Linked DNA regions of Drosophila melanogaster. The gene in region 1 interacts genetically with each later gene. Each region holds a gene or a part of one and is shown on either strand. Other genes may lie near its edges.

Region 1 (10,307 bases):
ACAGTAATCACAGGCTTAATGTGCACAATTTCCTTATTGTTTTTAAGCGGACCATGATTGGCTTAGTTAGACAGAACACTCGGCATAACCTTTGCATCCAACACGCCATTCTCTGCAATATCATTTCACACATAGGTCTCTTTTTGTGTACTTAGAGCTCCAACTTTGCCCCCGGGATCAGGCTCAGAATGGCTGCAACTGACCCATGGATTTGATATTCTCATTTATTTTTCATTCATTAACCTACAAAGGCAATTTTACAACTTTCGCCCATGTACGCGTCGTTTAAACGTTTTGAACTTCGCACAGTGGTTTGCAAAAGAATAAAATTGTGAGCTCTGTTCGAGTTTCACTTGAAAAAATACAGCTGTTTATGGTGTCTAGATTTTCATTGTGCTTGAACTTTAACTAGATTTAACTAGACATTAACTAGAAAGAAAAATAAGGTTTATTTATTATTTATCAGCTTGAAAGGACTTTTGAAGAATGTCCATAAGGAAAGTGTACTGAAATGAAGCAAATTTACACACTCTAAACCACTTTCCTGACCCACAGTGCTGATTGTTTTGCAAAGCTTTTTCTTTCGCATATACTTTGTTTAAATACCGAAATGTGTTGTTGTTTTCGCAGCCTTCATCTTGTTTTCATTTTATCTTTCTTCGCAAACAAAACACGTATTCACAACGCTTACGGTTTCGACTCTTCTGCTCGGCGTTTTAACCATGTGTCAAGGGTTTCGAGGGAAGATCTGTAATTTGGGGCCAGTTCAATGCACTCCGCCGGAGCAAACTGAAACGGAGTTTCGACTTCGTATACCCTTTTCTTTTGTATCGCTCGCATGTTATGTGATGTGCGAGTTTTGAGCGGTTGCATAAGAGGCGAACTTTGGCGCCTTGGAGTGGAATGCTCTTCGTTGCTTATCAGGGCGGGCAGATTCTAAGGGAACCAATTGGTATCGGCTTTCAGAGCGGATAAACCTTGGTGCGTCGGACTTTGGCCCTTGCCTTCAACACTTTTTTTTATAAACGAATAGCAAAAACAGCGCTTTGTAAGTTGTGTAAATGAATGCCAAAGAATTTGTTTAGTTTCTATTGATGTCCCCGACCTATGCCAATGTTTCTCCGCCTAGCTAATGGGCGAAATGAAAGAGAGAGTGATTTTGAGGGGGTTGAGAATCCGATTACGCAATCGCTCTCTTGGCAGCCTAATTTTACATTTTCCCTATAGGTATACACCCCATTCTCTGTTGATAATATCTTTAATCGCTTTTTATGTTCTTATTATCAGCGTTTCGATATTCTGGCAAGTATCCAGAAATACCGAAAGCGTAACAACAACTTGTTTGGACTTCAGGTTCTGATTTGATTATAATATTTACGAAGGCCGCACAGTTGGCTAATTGGAAAAAAATATATTTACGCGCGGTTTGATTATGATAATCTATTTTAAGAATGCAATTGGGAAATTACTATCTGTACTAAGATAATATAGCCTAAGCTAGATAGCAGCCTATAGAATTATGTTATTTTCTGTGTGCTCAAAGGTGCTTTGTTATTATGTCATCACACGCTCTGGTATCGGTTAAATGCAGCAATGCTGATTTCCATGACTTCCTCGTCTGCTGTCGCTCCCCATTTGTCGTCCTACCTCATTAGCACTACATAAATGCATATATTTGTTCTTTTATCGGTTGCAGGTGAAACTACAAACTGAACATCTGGAGAGGAACAACTGACATCATCCTATTGTATTATTGTTGCGTCCATTGTTCGTTTGTTCTTGCCATTAATCAGAGCTGGGCTCTTTTGGAGGATACGCCTCACACCCACCATTTTCACTACCGATCAAAAAACACTCATTTAATTCATAGATCGGACAAGTAGAGAAAAGGCAGCAAGATGTTCATCGAAGACGATGCGCAGTAAGTAAACACATTTATTATATAAGACCTGTTTAGTTTTGAGCCCGTTTTCTGTGTATTTTTATTTCATAAGTACATCACTCAGTGTAAGCTTGTGGTTGTGGATTTTTTGGAGTTGGGAAATATAATTAATGTATTGCATTCCATTAAGAACGCTGAGTCTCAAATGTAGGGGTATTTTTTTTTAATGAGTTGACACTTAGCACATGGACTTTTCACCTCTTAACTTTAAACATTCTATTTGCGGTTTATTAAATTTCTTTTGACATAGCGCGCAACCTTTTAAGCTCATTGGCCCGGGAAATTGACGTCATGCCATTTTGCGCAAGCCAAGTTCAAGGCATTCGTTCGATTTGCTTATCAGGCCAGCACTCACACACGATGTCTTTATCAAGTGTGCAGTTTTCAACTAGGAATTATAAAAAGTGACACATATGTATGTATGTATGCCACGACCGGCATATAATATTCAATTATATAATTATATATAGATATTTGTTAAGTGCGAATCTCAGCATGACTCGTTTCCTATTAAACTAGCTTCTATCTTAGTATGGTCTTGGTATGCTACTAGTAACTGGTTTTCCATTTAGTCTGCCATCGAGCGATAATCAGTAATCAGCGTCCGAAATTCTTAGTAAAATGCTTTACAGTGTTTTAATTAATTAGGCATTGCGATAATAAGTTTATCTAGTGTTCTGGTGGCAGTCGTTCAGATTTATAATTATAAATCAAAATTTAAAAATATTTGGCATGAGGTTTTTGTCCAATTTTAATTATAAATAACGTGACAAGAACGTTTAAAATGACGGCGGTCCTAATGGAATTGCAAAGAAAGTAAGAGTTCCCGACAAATCTTTTCGTTATTTTCGGTTGTCGATAAGTACACAAATAAACTAAAGATAAGAGTTTTAAGAATAGAGCCGAATTTAGCCGTTGGAAAAATTAGGAAGTATTTCCCCAAAATTGGGTCATCATTTTATAAAGTATTTGGGCCATAAAGATTGCTTCAAAATCAATGATATATTGCAAATACCCTTGATTTTTGACACGTTTTATGAAGTACTTGGCAAGCCAACTAGATTGGTTTTAGATGGCAGATAAGATGCCGGACGTATAAAAGGGTCCAGACGAGTGCCAGACACACACACTTAAGTTTCGGTTTATTACAATGGCAGAATTCTGTGCCGCGAAAGAGTGATGATTACTAGCGGTCCGGGCTTCGGCGCGTTAGTTAGTGCTAAGCAATCTGTAGCTGATAAAAAGCCGAACACCTTCAGAGCTCTTCACCGGTTATCGGCCGTTTGAAAAGCGTTTTCTGAGCACCGAGAACCAAAGTGAGCGTGAGAGTGTCTACCCCTTTTCCGCCGTCGGACTTTTAAGACCTGCTAACTAACAGTGGCAGCAGCAGCAGGTGGTGATATCAGTTGGTTTTCGGCTTGCGACGGCGCTACAACGAGTGGGTGGGTGCAATGGGAGAATGGTTGCAGGAGTCAACCGGGCGAATACTTGACGAGGCGGGGAAAGCAATAGTTGAAATACCCCGCTGAAATTTGCATACCAATTGGCCACTAATTTGACATTTCTATTGCCCTTTCAGAATGGACAGCTTCTGGGTGCAGAGCGCTATTGGCGCGATCAAGGCGATCGCCTTTGTCTACGACATCATCACCCTTCCGGTTTACTTGGTGCTGCAGAAGCCCTGGAAACGCCGTCAGGACTCGCGTCGCGTGAAGGTGAGTGCTTTGACAGGACTTGCCACTAATCTGGCTAGTTGAAACGAATGGAAAAAGCCACAGACTTAGCCGGCCAATCGGTGCGACGAGGGGTGTAACTATCTCTAGAATCGTGTAGTTGAAATACTTTCGACTTTGCACTGCACGTTCCAAAGTACAGAGGCCTGCTACAATCGAGTTGTTTTAGTTTTTATTAAAAAAGTGCACCCTCGGTTATCAGTTTCATTAAGTTCTTTTCCGCATTTATTTCCCTTACTTCGAGCCTTGTTCTCGCCAGGTGGTTTCCTTATGTTCATTTCATTGTCTAATCTATGTAGATATGACTACTTTTGATTTATTGACCAGGTCCACCATTTCCACAATCTATTCGCCTTTATCAGGGCTTCGCTTTTTATGCGGTAATTATCATATCCGATTAACTTTCTTTCATTTTGCTTTATAACTCCGCGAATGTCAGGACTTCCAGCCATGGCTGTATTTGACAAGTGCACAGGTTGTCAGGCCATAATGAAATCGCAGTTGGTCCTGATAACAGAACCATGAAGTTAAGAAATCATAGAATATCTCTACCTTCTTTTCAAATGGAAATAATATTCACACATAGTGAGCTGTGCAAGTGAGACACCCTAGCTCTCAGCCCAGAAATAAAAAACATATTTCGAAGTGAGTGTTAGCTTATCACATTTCCTGCAAAATAAATTAGTCTTGTTAACTGAAAGCCTAAGGAATGGCGTTTAATAGCCGGGTTTTGGTGCCTGTCCTCAAGGCCGATGATGACGAAAAGGAGTTAGTTGATCCGCAAGCAGCCCTTAGGGAGAAGTGCCAGGCCAAAGGTCACATTGCGTCCCTGTACAACAAGTATCAAGAGTGCAATGATCGTGTGAATGGCAAGTCCAAAACCACTGAGACATGCATGGAGGAATTGTTCGACTTCGTCGCTGAATTGGATCATTGCGTTGCTCACAGTCTCTTCTCGAAACTCAAATAGTTTCAAATTCTAGCAATGCTAAAAAAATAAAATTGGCACTTAAATAAAGGAAACAAACTAAAACATAAATATTTCCAGCTATAACTCGTTTAGGAAAAGTCCCACCTGAGGTACACTTTTATCTGACTTTTCACTATCTAAATGGAACGCATTTTGGTTGGCCTTTTCAGTCGGCTGATAAGGTTTATGGGTTAGTAAGGGTACGCCAACGCCGGAATCTAAGATCGCTTTCATTTGTGTGCAGTTTGCATAATCTTTAGAAAAAATAAGTAAAACGAGTTGAATGCCTTAATCGGGAATCAGTAACTCTATGCAATACCACAGCTAACTAGCTTCTCATCGCATATCTCAACTCCTCCTTCCTCTACAGGCCAAGCCCATTAACCAGAAAATGTTGGTCGATGAGTCCAAGTACGCGCCGGATGACATTGAGGTTTAACTTTTGCAAATGTGTTTTTTTATTATTTAGTAATACTATCTGTTATGGAACATACACACATTACACGAACACACACACACACACACACACACATACATTGGGGCACCCCCATACAACACACAAACACCACACACGCACAATGAATGTTCCAGGTACTGGTTGGTGATCGTACCCAGAGTTGAATCCCCTTTTTGGAGACTCTTTTTGGTGTTGGTCCAAGAAACATGATCTCCCGAGTTACGGCCCTCACCTCAACAAACCCTCGAAAACTCACATGTCCGTTATCTCTCTGTCGATTCTACTTTGTGGTCCCTCCCCTAATCTAGCGTTTCTTTTTAAATCGCAACCTCTAACACGACGTTAAACTAATCGCCACGAATTCGCTCATTTTCCAGGCAAAGATCGTGCGGAATGATGACAATGAGCTGACCTACCGGACCACGGATCCACCACGGGATGTCCACGTGAAGATGCTGCAAGAGAATATCGATACCCTGGAGAAGGTATTCAACTATGTGGCCAAAACTTACACGTCGAAGCGTTGTCTGGGCACCCGGCAGATCCTCAGCGAGGAGGATGAGGTGCAGCAGAACGGTCGAGTCTTCAAGAAGTACAACCTCGGTGACTACAAGTGGAAGACGTTCACCGAGGCGGAGCGCACGGCGGCTAATTTCGGGCGCGGTCTGCGAGAACTTGGCCAGAAACCACGCGAGAACATTGTCATCTTTGCCGAAACGCGAGCCGAATGGATGATAGCTGCCCACGGATGCTTTAAGCAGGCTATGCCCATTGTCACTGTCTATGCTACGCTGGGCGATGATGGAGTTGCTCATTGTGAGTAAATTGGCTTACCATGTGTATGGTTTTTAAATAATATTTTGCTCTGTTGCCAGGCATCACCGAAACGGAAGTCACCACGGTTATCACCTCCCATGATCTGCTGCCCAAGTTTAAGACGCTGCTCGACAAATGCCCATTGGTGAAGACTATTATCTATATTGAGGATCAGCTGCAAAAGACAGAAACCACTGGCTTCAAGGAGGGCGTCAAGATCTTGCCGTTTAACCAAGTTGTCAAGACAGGACAGGACAGTAAATTTGGTACGTTTTGAAAGGGTCTTAAAAGATGATTTATTTATGTCAATTACACGATAAATTTGCTAAAATGCATCGTGTTTCACACCGAAAATGGTGTGGGCTCGACGTGTTCACCATCGGCGTTATCCTCAGGCGCCCGAGCCGTTGCCATCGATGTGGATGCAACCGGCTTCTGCGCATCATTATCATCCACAACATTGCTCATCCTTTCGAGGTTATCAATGTCATCTCTTTCGGTTGATCTGTTTTCACTATCAGAGCCTTGTGCTAATTCTGCTTCCGGCAAGTGGTTGCAATAGCGCCATCTAATCGAGACAGAATGTGTTGATGGGTCATCCAGTGTTTTAATCTACAACTCTCACCTCATGTCAGTACTGGAAAAACCGACGGGTTGCAACAGAATCGGCTTCGTTTGTTCTACATATTCGTTCACAAGACTGGAACCAGGTCCTATGATCAAATCTTCCTCCTTAGCCTCAAGGGTAACTCCTTCGGTTATCTTTTCCTCGTCTCTTTCTTGCTTAGAGGAATATGTGCGATACGCCCGAAAGATGAGAACGCCGCAGTATACGCCAAATAGTGTAAAAAATACGGAGCAGCTTCTCGGCTTTCCTGATGTTGAGCCTAGTAAAGCATTGCATTGTTGCACACAAGTCAAGGGCGTTAGGGTGATGAATTCCTCTAGGACTTCAGCCATTTCGAATGGTGTCTGAACTAAAAAATCACCCTACACAATTTGGAAAGAGTTCTTTCTGTTTACCGAAAGTATGCGCTTTTAATTCAGCACTGAAATGTTGACAGCATATGTATAGCGTGCTATGCGCAAGGAATTTGTTAAATATTAAACTAGTACTAATTGACTTTATTTTGTATCCCACAGAGCACGTTCCACCCAAGGGAGATGACATTGCCATTATCATGTACACTTCCGGATCCACTGGCACACCTAAGGGTGTCCTCCTCTCGCACAAGAACTGCATTGCGACAATGAAGGGATTTGTTGATATGGTGCCTATCTATCCGGATGATGTACTGATCGGATTCCTGCCCCTGGCTCACGTTTTTGAATTGGTTGCGGAAAGTGTGTGTCTCATGACTGGCGTTCCAATTGGCTACTCGACCCCCTTGACTCTGATCGACACTAGCAGCAAGATCAAACGCGGGTGCAAGGGCGATGCCACCGTCCTGAAGCCCACCTGCATGACTTCGGTGCCGCTGATATTGGATCGCATTTCCAAGGGTATTAACGACAAGGTTAACTCTGGCTCGGCGTTCAAGAAATCACTCTTCAAATTCCTTTACCAGTACAAAGTCAAGTGGGTGCAGAGGGGGTACAAGACGCCGCTGATTGATAAGTAAGAACGGTGTGCTCATAAATATCATGAGTTGCTAACTAAAACTATTATTTTTCTTGCAGACTGGTGTTCAAGAAGGTGGCAAAGCTAATGGGTGGCAAAGTGCGCATTATCATGTCTGGCGGAGCGCCTCTGTCAGCAGATACACATGAGCAGATCAAGACCTGCTTGTGCTTGGAGCTGATTCAGGGCTATGGCCTTACGGAAACTACGTCTGGAGCCACTGTCATGGACTGTAAGTGATCGCAGATCGACCTTTCTTTTGAAAACAAGTAAATAACTTTATACCCAATACAAGACCGTGATATGACCTATGGACGCACTGGAGGACCATTAACTGTCTGCGACATCCGTCTAGTCAACTGGGAAGAAGGCAACTACCGCGTCACAAATAAACCTTATCCCCAGGGTGAGGTTCTCATTGGTGGCGAGTGTGTCTCCCAGGGATACTACAAGTTGCCCGGCAAGACCAACGAGGATTTCTTTGAGGAGGATGGACAGAGATGGTTTAAAACCGGCGACATTGGCGAAATACAAGCTGATGGCGTACTTAAGATTATTGGTAAGTTATTTAGCACAGTGCTTTTTCTTTCATTTTTTTTATTATAATACGCTTTTTGCAGATCGTAAGAAGGATCTGGTTAAGCTGCAGGCCGGCGAGTATGTTTCCCTTGGCAAAGTTGAATCTGAGCTTAAGACTTGCGGAATCATCGAGAACATTTGCGTATACGGAGATCCGACAAAGCAGTACACAGTGGCGCTGGTCGTTCCCAACCAAAACCATTTGGAGGAGCTGGCACAGAAACATGGCCTGGGTGATAAGTCCTTTGAGGAGCTGTGCTCATCACCGATCATAGAGAAGGCTATTCTCAAGGAAATTGCTGAGCATGCGCGGAAATGTAAGCTACGATGCAGATTTGAGTATTTTTCAAAGTTTTTAATGGCAAATTGTTTAATCTTAAAGGTAAATTGCAAAAATATGAGGTTCCCGCCGCCATCACACTTTGTAAGGAGGTCTGGTCTCCGGACATGGGGCTGGTAACCGCCGCCTTCAAGCTGAAGCGCAAGGATATCCAGGACAGATATCAGCATGATATTAACCGCATGTACGCCTCATGAAAGTCAATGTACTAAGCCAGAGGTACCAGATGCAGCAACGACAACAACACGCAAACATTAAAGCAGCAGCAATGAAGCTAGTGTGTACTAATTGTTTTTAGTAGCACCCCACACAGCATAAGCATGCATACGAAATCCAAAACCAAACTAGCTTAAGTCCTAAAAGATCTAAATGCCGAGCAGTACATGCAGGAACCGATTAGCCACATTGCGCATGTAAAGACAGACAGAATGTTCTCATTTGCCTTTTTCGTTTCGTTTTATCTTATTTGCTAGAAATCGAAAATTACTCGTTTCTCATTTTAATAAAGTTCGCAAAGACTTGCTTGGCAGATATGTAGCTGAAGCTGAGTTTGGTTTGGAAATGCGCTGTGTATGTGCTAGGAATGCTGTTCAACCGATTGACAATGATAATGGTAATGATAACTGAATGCCGATGATGAGAAGGAATATTGTATACTGTACAGTTTTCGGTTTATAGTACATTGTGTGGCAAATTTATATTGCAGAAAAATACTTATTTTTATATTAAGCTTAAGTGGTTGCCTATTAATTATGTACATACGATATACACATTCATATAAAAGCATATATGTGTAAAATAAATCTAATATTTAGTGTACTTCTCTATGCTAAGTTAAATGTATGGAATTCTTGAAGTAATGAAATGTAGACAGCAGCAATGAAAGCGACTTGATTATGAATTAAAAGCCACAATTGAAAGTAAAGAACCTAAGAATTTCCCTTGCAAATGCTTCTTTTTGGCGCAGAGTAAAATACATCTAAACACAAATGGAACCATCCAAAAATTACTTTTAATTACACAAAGGCATAAAGGTTACAAAGGCAATTGTAATATATATTTTAGCTCAATTTAGTTAAAAAAAGGACATCAAATGAATTTTATGAAATATATTATGTAAAACACGTAAAGAGAAAAGTCAAAATTAATATGCAACAAATGAAAGACTTAGTACCAAAATATAATAAAAACACTGAAATCACTAGAAGGCCAACAAAACGCCTATATCTCAAAACTAAAATGTAATAACATTTGTTTTAGATGTGCAAGAACTTTTTGAATAAATTGTAGTCATATTTTTAGTTAAACTATGTATATTTAGGAAACGTTTAGCAATTTTTTGTGGAAACGTTACGTTTCTTTTCAATAAAATTCAAATGATACAAAGATGCAATTTCGACTTCTTTAAAAATCACGAGGGACGGCGTGTGGAACTCGTATCTCCGATTTTGTCGCCCTGATCAAATAGATCATTGTTATAATAACGAAACGAGTTACGAGTAATAAAGATATAAGACAATTATTACACATAAGTATCAATGCATTATAATATTTTTGATCGTATGAAATACTGGATAAATGAATAAACGAAACTATTTTTTAGTTTTACTTGAGCGGTAACTTGCGTATTAGTTTAAAATTGGGAACTATTCGTGAAGATAAATTTATCGAATATCTGGTTTGAAATCGAGTTTTTCCTATCGATCAATGGTCAGCTTATCAAAGCTCCCTAGAACTTTTTACTGTGCTTTTGACTAGATCAAATGGCTTGTGAACTTTTTGGTGCGCAGTCCACTCAGCGATCAAGTCAGGATGGCCGAGTGGTCTAAGGCGCTGCGTTCAGGTCGCA
Region 2 (5,842 bases), on another chromosome or scaffold:
GTGCAGCATTGTTTCATATGCGCTATTGTTAGTCCTGCGGTTAGTTTCACTCCAGTTTCCCATCATGTCAACAATCAAGTCACAATCTCCACCACGGCCCCGAGATTTGAGTGCTGTAAAGTCATTTAGCTACCCCCAGTTCAAATTGCGCTCAAGGTAGCGCAAAGAGCGAATAACTCTAACACAAATGCGAAATGAAGTAAATCGACAATAGATTCTAAGGGTGAAGAACGGTAGACATCAATCACGCTGTTTTCGAATCGCTGGTTAACACGCCAATCCGTTGACCTGGAATCAAGCGTTGTTCCTCAGTATCAAGAAGTTGAAAGTCTACTTTTGAGAACTTATGTGTACTTTTTTGGTATAGGTGTATAATGTAATGGCTTGCTATCCTAAATTGACTTGCTGCCTTGTCAGTTTAACCAACACAACCAACAAAATTTATAGTTGGAACTACTACCACTTGACGCCTAGTTGAGTGCGAAGTCTTACGGTTGGACTTAATCTGGTAAGAGTAGAACACTTCTAAGTAAATAAAAATACAACTCCTGGCATCGTATTTTGACACAACGGTCATAAATCTTGGAGAGTATTGCCGCGCCATCATAAAGACACATAACTCAGACTCCAATTATACAAAAACATGAAAATGTACAAGTCGAAGCACAAGAACAAGTAGAGCTACAAGTGTTCTACGTGTCCTTCGTGGCCTTCGTGCCTGCGGGTTTAGAATTTCCTTGAATTGCAACCTAACAACAATTGGCTCGTATTTCCAAGTGCGCATCTACAAAAATAAATAAACTACCAAGCCCATAGACTTTTCTGTCCGGCCGAAAATGCTAAGCAAATACACACTTCCTGCAGCAAGGACTAAAATAAGTTACTTCCTGGGTCTGAGAGGCTTAGGAAACAAATTTATTGCAGAAGTTCAGTGATCCCTGTCATATGAGATTGAACCCAGAGGGAAATTCGAGGATCAGTAAGCGAAAAAGATATCTTTTTGTGCAGTGACCTAACATTGCATGAAAATCGGAGTATAGCCTGTTAAAGGACACTTGTAGCTTAGCCTTGTATTTGGACACCTATATCGGATCCTTATCCTGGCAGGTCCTGAATTCACAATCCTGTTTCCGCTTTAAGCTTCTTTTTATATCCGGCAACAATGGACCACAAGAGAGTTTCACTCTACTTCGTCTTGGTCTTGTTTTCTGGATTTATCTTAAGCTGACATCCAATTACATTTGCCATTGTCCTCGTCCACTACCTTCGTTTTTCTCTTCCGTTTTTTTTTTTTTTTTTTTTGAGGAACATCTTTGAGTTTTTGGCGGTATTGCACCGCTTCCTGTTTTATTTAGAGTTCTGTTCTTATCACATCCTCCTTTGGTAAACTCAGTCCAAGTTGAATGCCGTTTCCCTACGCACGTGTCCAGCGCAATTGGCAATTTGCATATTGTATGCTAAATAATGGGTGTGGCATCTCCTGCCTAGATGACATTCCTGCATATTCATTTAATGGCCCTAATATTTCACCCTTGGGGTGGGTTTACTTTCCAATTTTTAGCTACGGGGTTAGCGGAAGTGCATTTCACGGCTCGCCGACGTCGTCCAGCTTGATGAAAAACTTTGTGGCGGTGTGCGCCAGCCACGTGGATTGTGCGAGTCTTCAAGTACTGATCCTTGGACTAGGACAATTTCATCCTCTCAGGCGTGACTGCCTATTTCCGGGCTATTTACGCGCCATTAACAATTCCCGGCCGAATTGTAGCTCGTTAGGGAACCAATCATGAAAATATTCGCTGTTGTTTCCTGTCAGGTGCTTAACTCTATGTTGGTTACGAATTTTGAGTGAGTCATGTCCACGCTCCAAAAGTAATTGAATATAAATAATAAATTGGGTAACTTTTTTGTGAAATTATTATTTCTATCGCTAGTACCATTATTAAGCCTGAGGCCAAAACAGCTAAGCTAAAAAATAATAATAATAATATAAAAATACATAAATTAAAAACGAATATCATAACATATATATAGTCAAAGCAATGCTTCAAAATGCAGATTGTTTAAAAACCTTTTTGGCTCTGATGCTGGTATGAGAACGAGAACTCGTTGTAATTACCCTACATGACGATCTGAATATATTTACGAGTAAGTGATTTCAGTAAAAAACATTTGGAATTAAATTTATCAATATGTTTTTATTTTGGCTTAAAAGTAGTTAGTTTAGTGTCTTCCATGCTTATAACAAACTTATAACTATGAAAAAAATATGTCTTCCATTGCGTTAAAATATAATAAAAAAAAATATGGGGTAACTTAGAGGCTAATGTGAAATTTGAGACTTGGTTTTACACTCACTAAGGCAACAATTTAGGGTATTTACAGTTTGTACAATATTTGTTTGTTTGGGACTTTTAGTAAGACCCCTTCACTGCTCTTGCCAAGATGAAATATAATCGAGTAGCTCCTCGTCATCTGGCTGCTCGTCACTGAAGCTATCAAAGGAGTCGAATTTGAGGTCCTGCTCTTGTAGTTCCTGTTTGATATAGCCACCTCCGGAAATCTCGGATCCGGAGTACGACGGCGTGGGCGAGGCGGAGTGGTACGAGTGGGATTGGGCAGACTGGGTGGCTCCCGTCAAGAACTGTTGCGAACTGTCCAAACTATCGTTGTAATCGTTATAGCTGCTGCCATCGTTGCTACTTTCATCGGCGGAATTGTAGATGTGACGAGTTGATGAAGCAGTGCCATCATCAAGCATGTCCTGTAGTCCTCGAATATATTCAACGGCGATTCGCAGTGTGTCCACCTTGGATAACTTCTTGCTGCTACCACGTCCTCCATTGGACAGCGAGTTTACCACAGTTTGAGGCAAATGCTGGCGGAGATTGACGAATCCATTGTTCACCTGCTTCACGCGATTGCGTTCACGGGCATTTCGTCTGGCTACCGATGGCAATTGCTCGCCATAGGGCATGTTATTGTAGTTGAACTTCTTCTTCTGGGAGGACAACATGGGTCCAACATTGGACTGTTGACTCTGCTGCATATTCTGCAGTTGGCTGGTACCCAAAGGTATTTTCGGAGCAATCAACTGGTGCTGCTGCGTTTGATGGTGATGCTGATGTTGCAGCAAGAAAATGTTACTGTTGGTCAGCTGGTAATGCTGCTGCTGGAATTTGCTGCTGCAAATGCTCGTCATGGTAATCCTTGCGAGAGTTTTCTAAGATTTAGTTTACAGATGTTGACTGTGTGGAATCAGATTCCGCAATGATAATTGCTGTTCTGATCTAGGGCTTTAAATACCCGGCAGTGGCAGAGGGAAACGCGCCGCGACAGAGGCAGCGACTTCGGCAGAGGAGCTACAGGGGTTGGTACGGGGTCGGATCCTGGCTACCTGCCCTCGAAAAACCGGGACCTAAGTCCTTTGCACAAGTGATCGTACATTTTTCCTCTCTTTCTAGGGGTTCTTTTTCTGTGGTGGGTGCCTCTATTCCTACTCAGTCTCTGTGTGCCTACCTACCCATCCTTTTCCCTCTCCCACACACTCTTTGTCCTTTGTGTCCGTCTACATAATGCATTTTTTCCTTTTGGGAAAATTTTAAATCTCAGATCTGCAAGATCCTTGTCATGGCTAAAAAAAAAGATTTTGAATGCACTTCCACTTTTGTCGAATGTCGTTTGCATTGAAAGCGAAAAATAAAGGAGAGTGAGATCTTGGAAGGGAATTTGATATAAAATGTGATCCATCAAATGAAAGAAAATGATGCGAAGGCAAAAGAAACAAACTTAAAAGACCATGTCGTGGGACTTTCACTGTCTTTAAAACTGCGTATCCACTTTTATATCCTGTAATGTTATGAACCTTCATTAATATTTTTTCTGACCCATCTGCATTTGACACGTGCTTCCGATCAGTCCGGTGCATTAGCATAAGCTTCAAAACAATGATACATAACATCGCAGAGCGGCGCAGACAAAATCCCACAAGTGTGTGCTGTATCATGAATACCAAGCGTACTATAATAAGTAAGGGGACGGCCAGACAAATAAAAACGAAACCATCACAAAGGCATTGAATATTGACAGCAGTTGGGATCAAAGTTGCAGTCGAAACACTCTTACCCTTTCATCAAACGCTTGTGATACAAGAAAGCGATCTAAATTTGGGCTGTGCACTCGACAAAAAATGTAATATTTCTGACTGGTTAATATATGTCTTGTATGAACAAACAAAAACTGAATTCAATTAATTTGCATAACTCATTAAATCGTATTAAGGCTACGATGCAATTTAAAATATTTTTTTGGGAAAATATTTTGATAGTGTTGCATTATTGAATAAATATTTTCTTTTAAAGATAATTATTTCGTGGAATACTTCTAAAAATCGAATGGCAGTTTTGATTTTAAAGCATGAAGCATTTGTGTTGCTTTAATATCAAGACATCACTCATAATCAGGTTTAGTTCTAAATTATCAAATTAGTATGTCGAAAAGCATTAAAAAAGGTCTTTAAATGTTATTTGACTAGCAAATTAGTATTTCAAAAAGCTTTAAAAAATGTTATGTCTTTATTTATTTGCTGCTTGCTGTAGGGTTGTGACTTATTATGCCCAGTCCAAGAAAGTAAAGTTATTCCGTTTACCAACAATCCCCCTGCAATTAAATTAAGCATTCATAAATCTGTAAGGAGCTGAATCTGAAACAAATTTCTGGATTCGCAACTTGCAACTTTGTTGCAATGGGAAGGCAATACCGTTACCGAAGACGGATAAGTCGAGTTACGAGATTGCTCCCATAAATGCATAAAATCTTAAAAAAAGCCATAAGCAGCTGCCCTAAAGGAGATCAGAAAATTAGAGGAAATTGATCCCACAAGAATGAACGCTGAAAATCATAATAAAGCAAAAAAAAAAAAAAAAAAAAAACACCATTTACCTAATAATTGGTTTTTAAAAGTTGCTACCGAATTCGTTTTCTAATGCATTTATAATATCTAGAATAAAAATCTTTGCGTCATCACCTTTGTATTTCTCTTGGTTCGAAGCAAACCCTTTTCAAATACTCTTTTAATATGCTCCAAACACACCCACCAAAAAATAGGAAAGTAAAAAAGGTTTTGGTTTCAATTTCATAAGCCTCGGACACCATGCCCTATAATGTTCAGTGATTAATTAATCCGCATGAGATCAGAATAGTGTTGATCCCAGTTTCGTTTTTGGGGGACGCAGTAAATATAAAATAGTGAACAACTGGCCAGGGTTGTCAGGTTCATGGTTTCCCAGGTTTCCAATCAGCTAGTGTACCATAAAGTGGCGGTCTCTATATAGTTTCAATCTTCCAATAAGTTGCTGTACAGCGACCTCTATTGTCCAAAGGTTTCTCAAGGGGATTCTAATTAGAAAAGTAGCCGACAAAATGAAGTTGACAAAAACATACATGATAAAAATAATGTTAATTGTTTTTATATGAGGTCTAGTCTATGCTTTTACATGTTCAGTATATGTCACATACAGCAAATGAATATTGTTAAATTATTTATTTGCTGTATTCTTACTAATGTGAAAATGTCCTTTATGTCTTGAAGGGGAGTGTACAAATCTCGTTGACTGTTGACAAAGAAAATAATTATATATTTCATGTGCTCTCCGCACATTACCACTAATTAGAATTCAAAACAACAGCTACCGAACTAAAAATCCGTGACCTCCGAACCGGAGAAATCGAAATAGGAGTAAGTTATTCGGATTCCTCTCACGTACGCCAGAGGCAAGTGTAAAACGTGATAGACTGGATCGCCGGTGGGTTACTGGCGATATCATAAGCGTGAAATCTGCCAAAT

Evidence for each region. A genetic interaction does not mean that the proteins touch.
Region 2: of Acsl (region 1) and l(1)sc, changing one enhances a phenotype caused by changing the other (phenotypic enhancement), as found in Drosophila melanogaster (one study listed by BioGRID).

What each region holds. Positions count from the first base shown.
Region 1 is NT_033778.4:8,672,951-8,683,257, forward strand, and holds Acsl (Acyl-CoA synthetase long-chain), read left to right. Parts: upstream 1-2,619; 5' UTR 2,620-2,758; intron 2,759-3,126; exon of another isoform or gene 3,127-3,384; intron 3,385-3,521; coding exon of another isoform or gene 3,522-3,522; coding exon 3,523-3,657; intron 3,658-4,268; exon of another isoform or gene 4,269-4,384; coding exon of another isoform or gene 4,385-4,645; exon of another isoform or gene 4,646-4,711; intron 4,712-5,015; coding exon 5,016-5,078; intron 5,079-5,479; coding exon 5,480-5,918; intron 5,919-5,977; coding exon 5,978-6,184; intron 6,185-6,195; exon of another isoform or gene 6,196-6,260; coding exon of another isoform or gene 6,261-6,486; intron 6,487-6,543; coding exon of another isoform or gene 6,544-6,878; exon of another isoform or gene 6,879-7,003; intron 7,004-7,061; coding exon 7,062-7,536; intron 7,537-7,598; coding exon 7,599-7,771; intron 7,772-7,834; coding exon 7,835-8,098; intron 8,099-8,159; coding exon 8,160-8,435; intron 8,436-8,500; coding exon 8,501-8,655; 3' UTR 8,656-9,389; downstream 9,390-10,307. Other genes in the region: UQCR-11L (Ubiquinol-cytochrome c reductase 11 kDa subunit-like), read left to right, coding at 4,385-4,645; CG30355 (uncharacterized protein), read right to left, coding at 6,261-6,486, 6,544-6,878.
Region 2 is NC_004354.4:407,153-412,994, reverse strand, and holds l(1)sc (lethal of scute), read right to left. Parts: upstream 3,275-5,842; 5' UTR 3,200-3,274; coding exon 2,426-3,199; 3' UTR 2,178-2,425; downstream 1-2,177. UniProt on the Drosophila melanogaster protein: AS-C proteins are involved in the determination of the neuronal precursors in the peripheral nervous system and the central nervous system.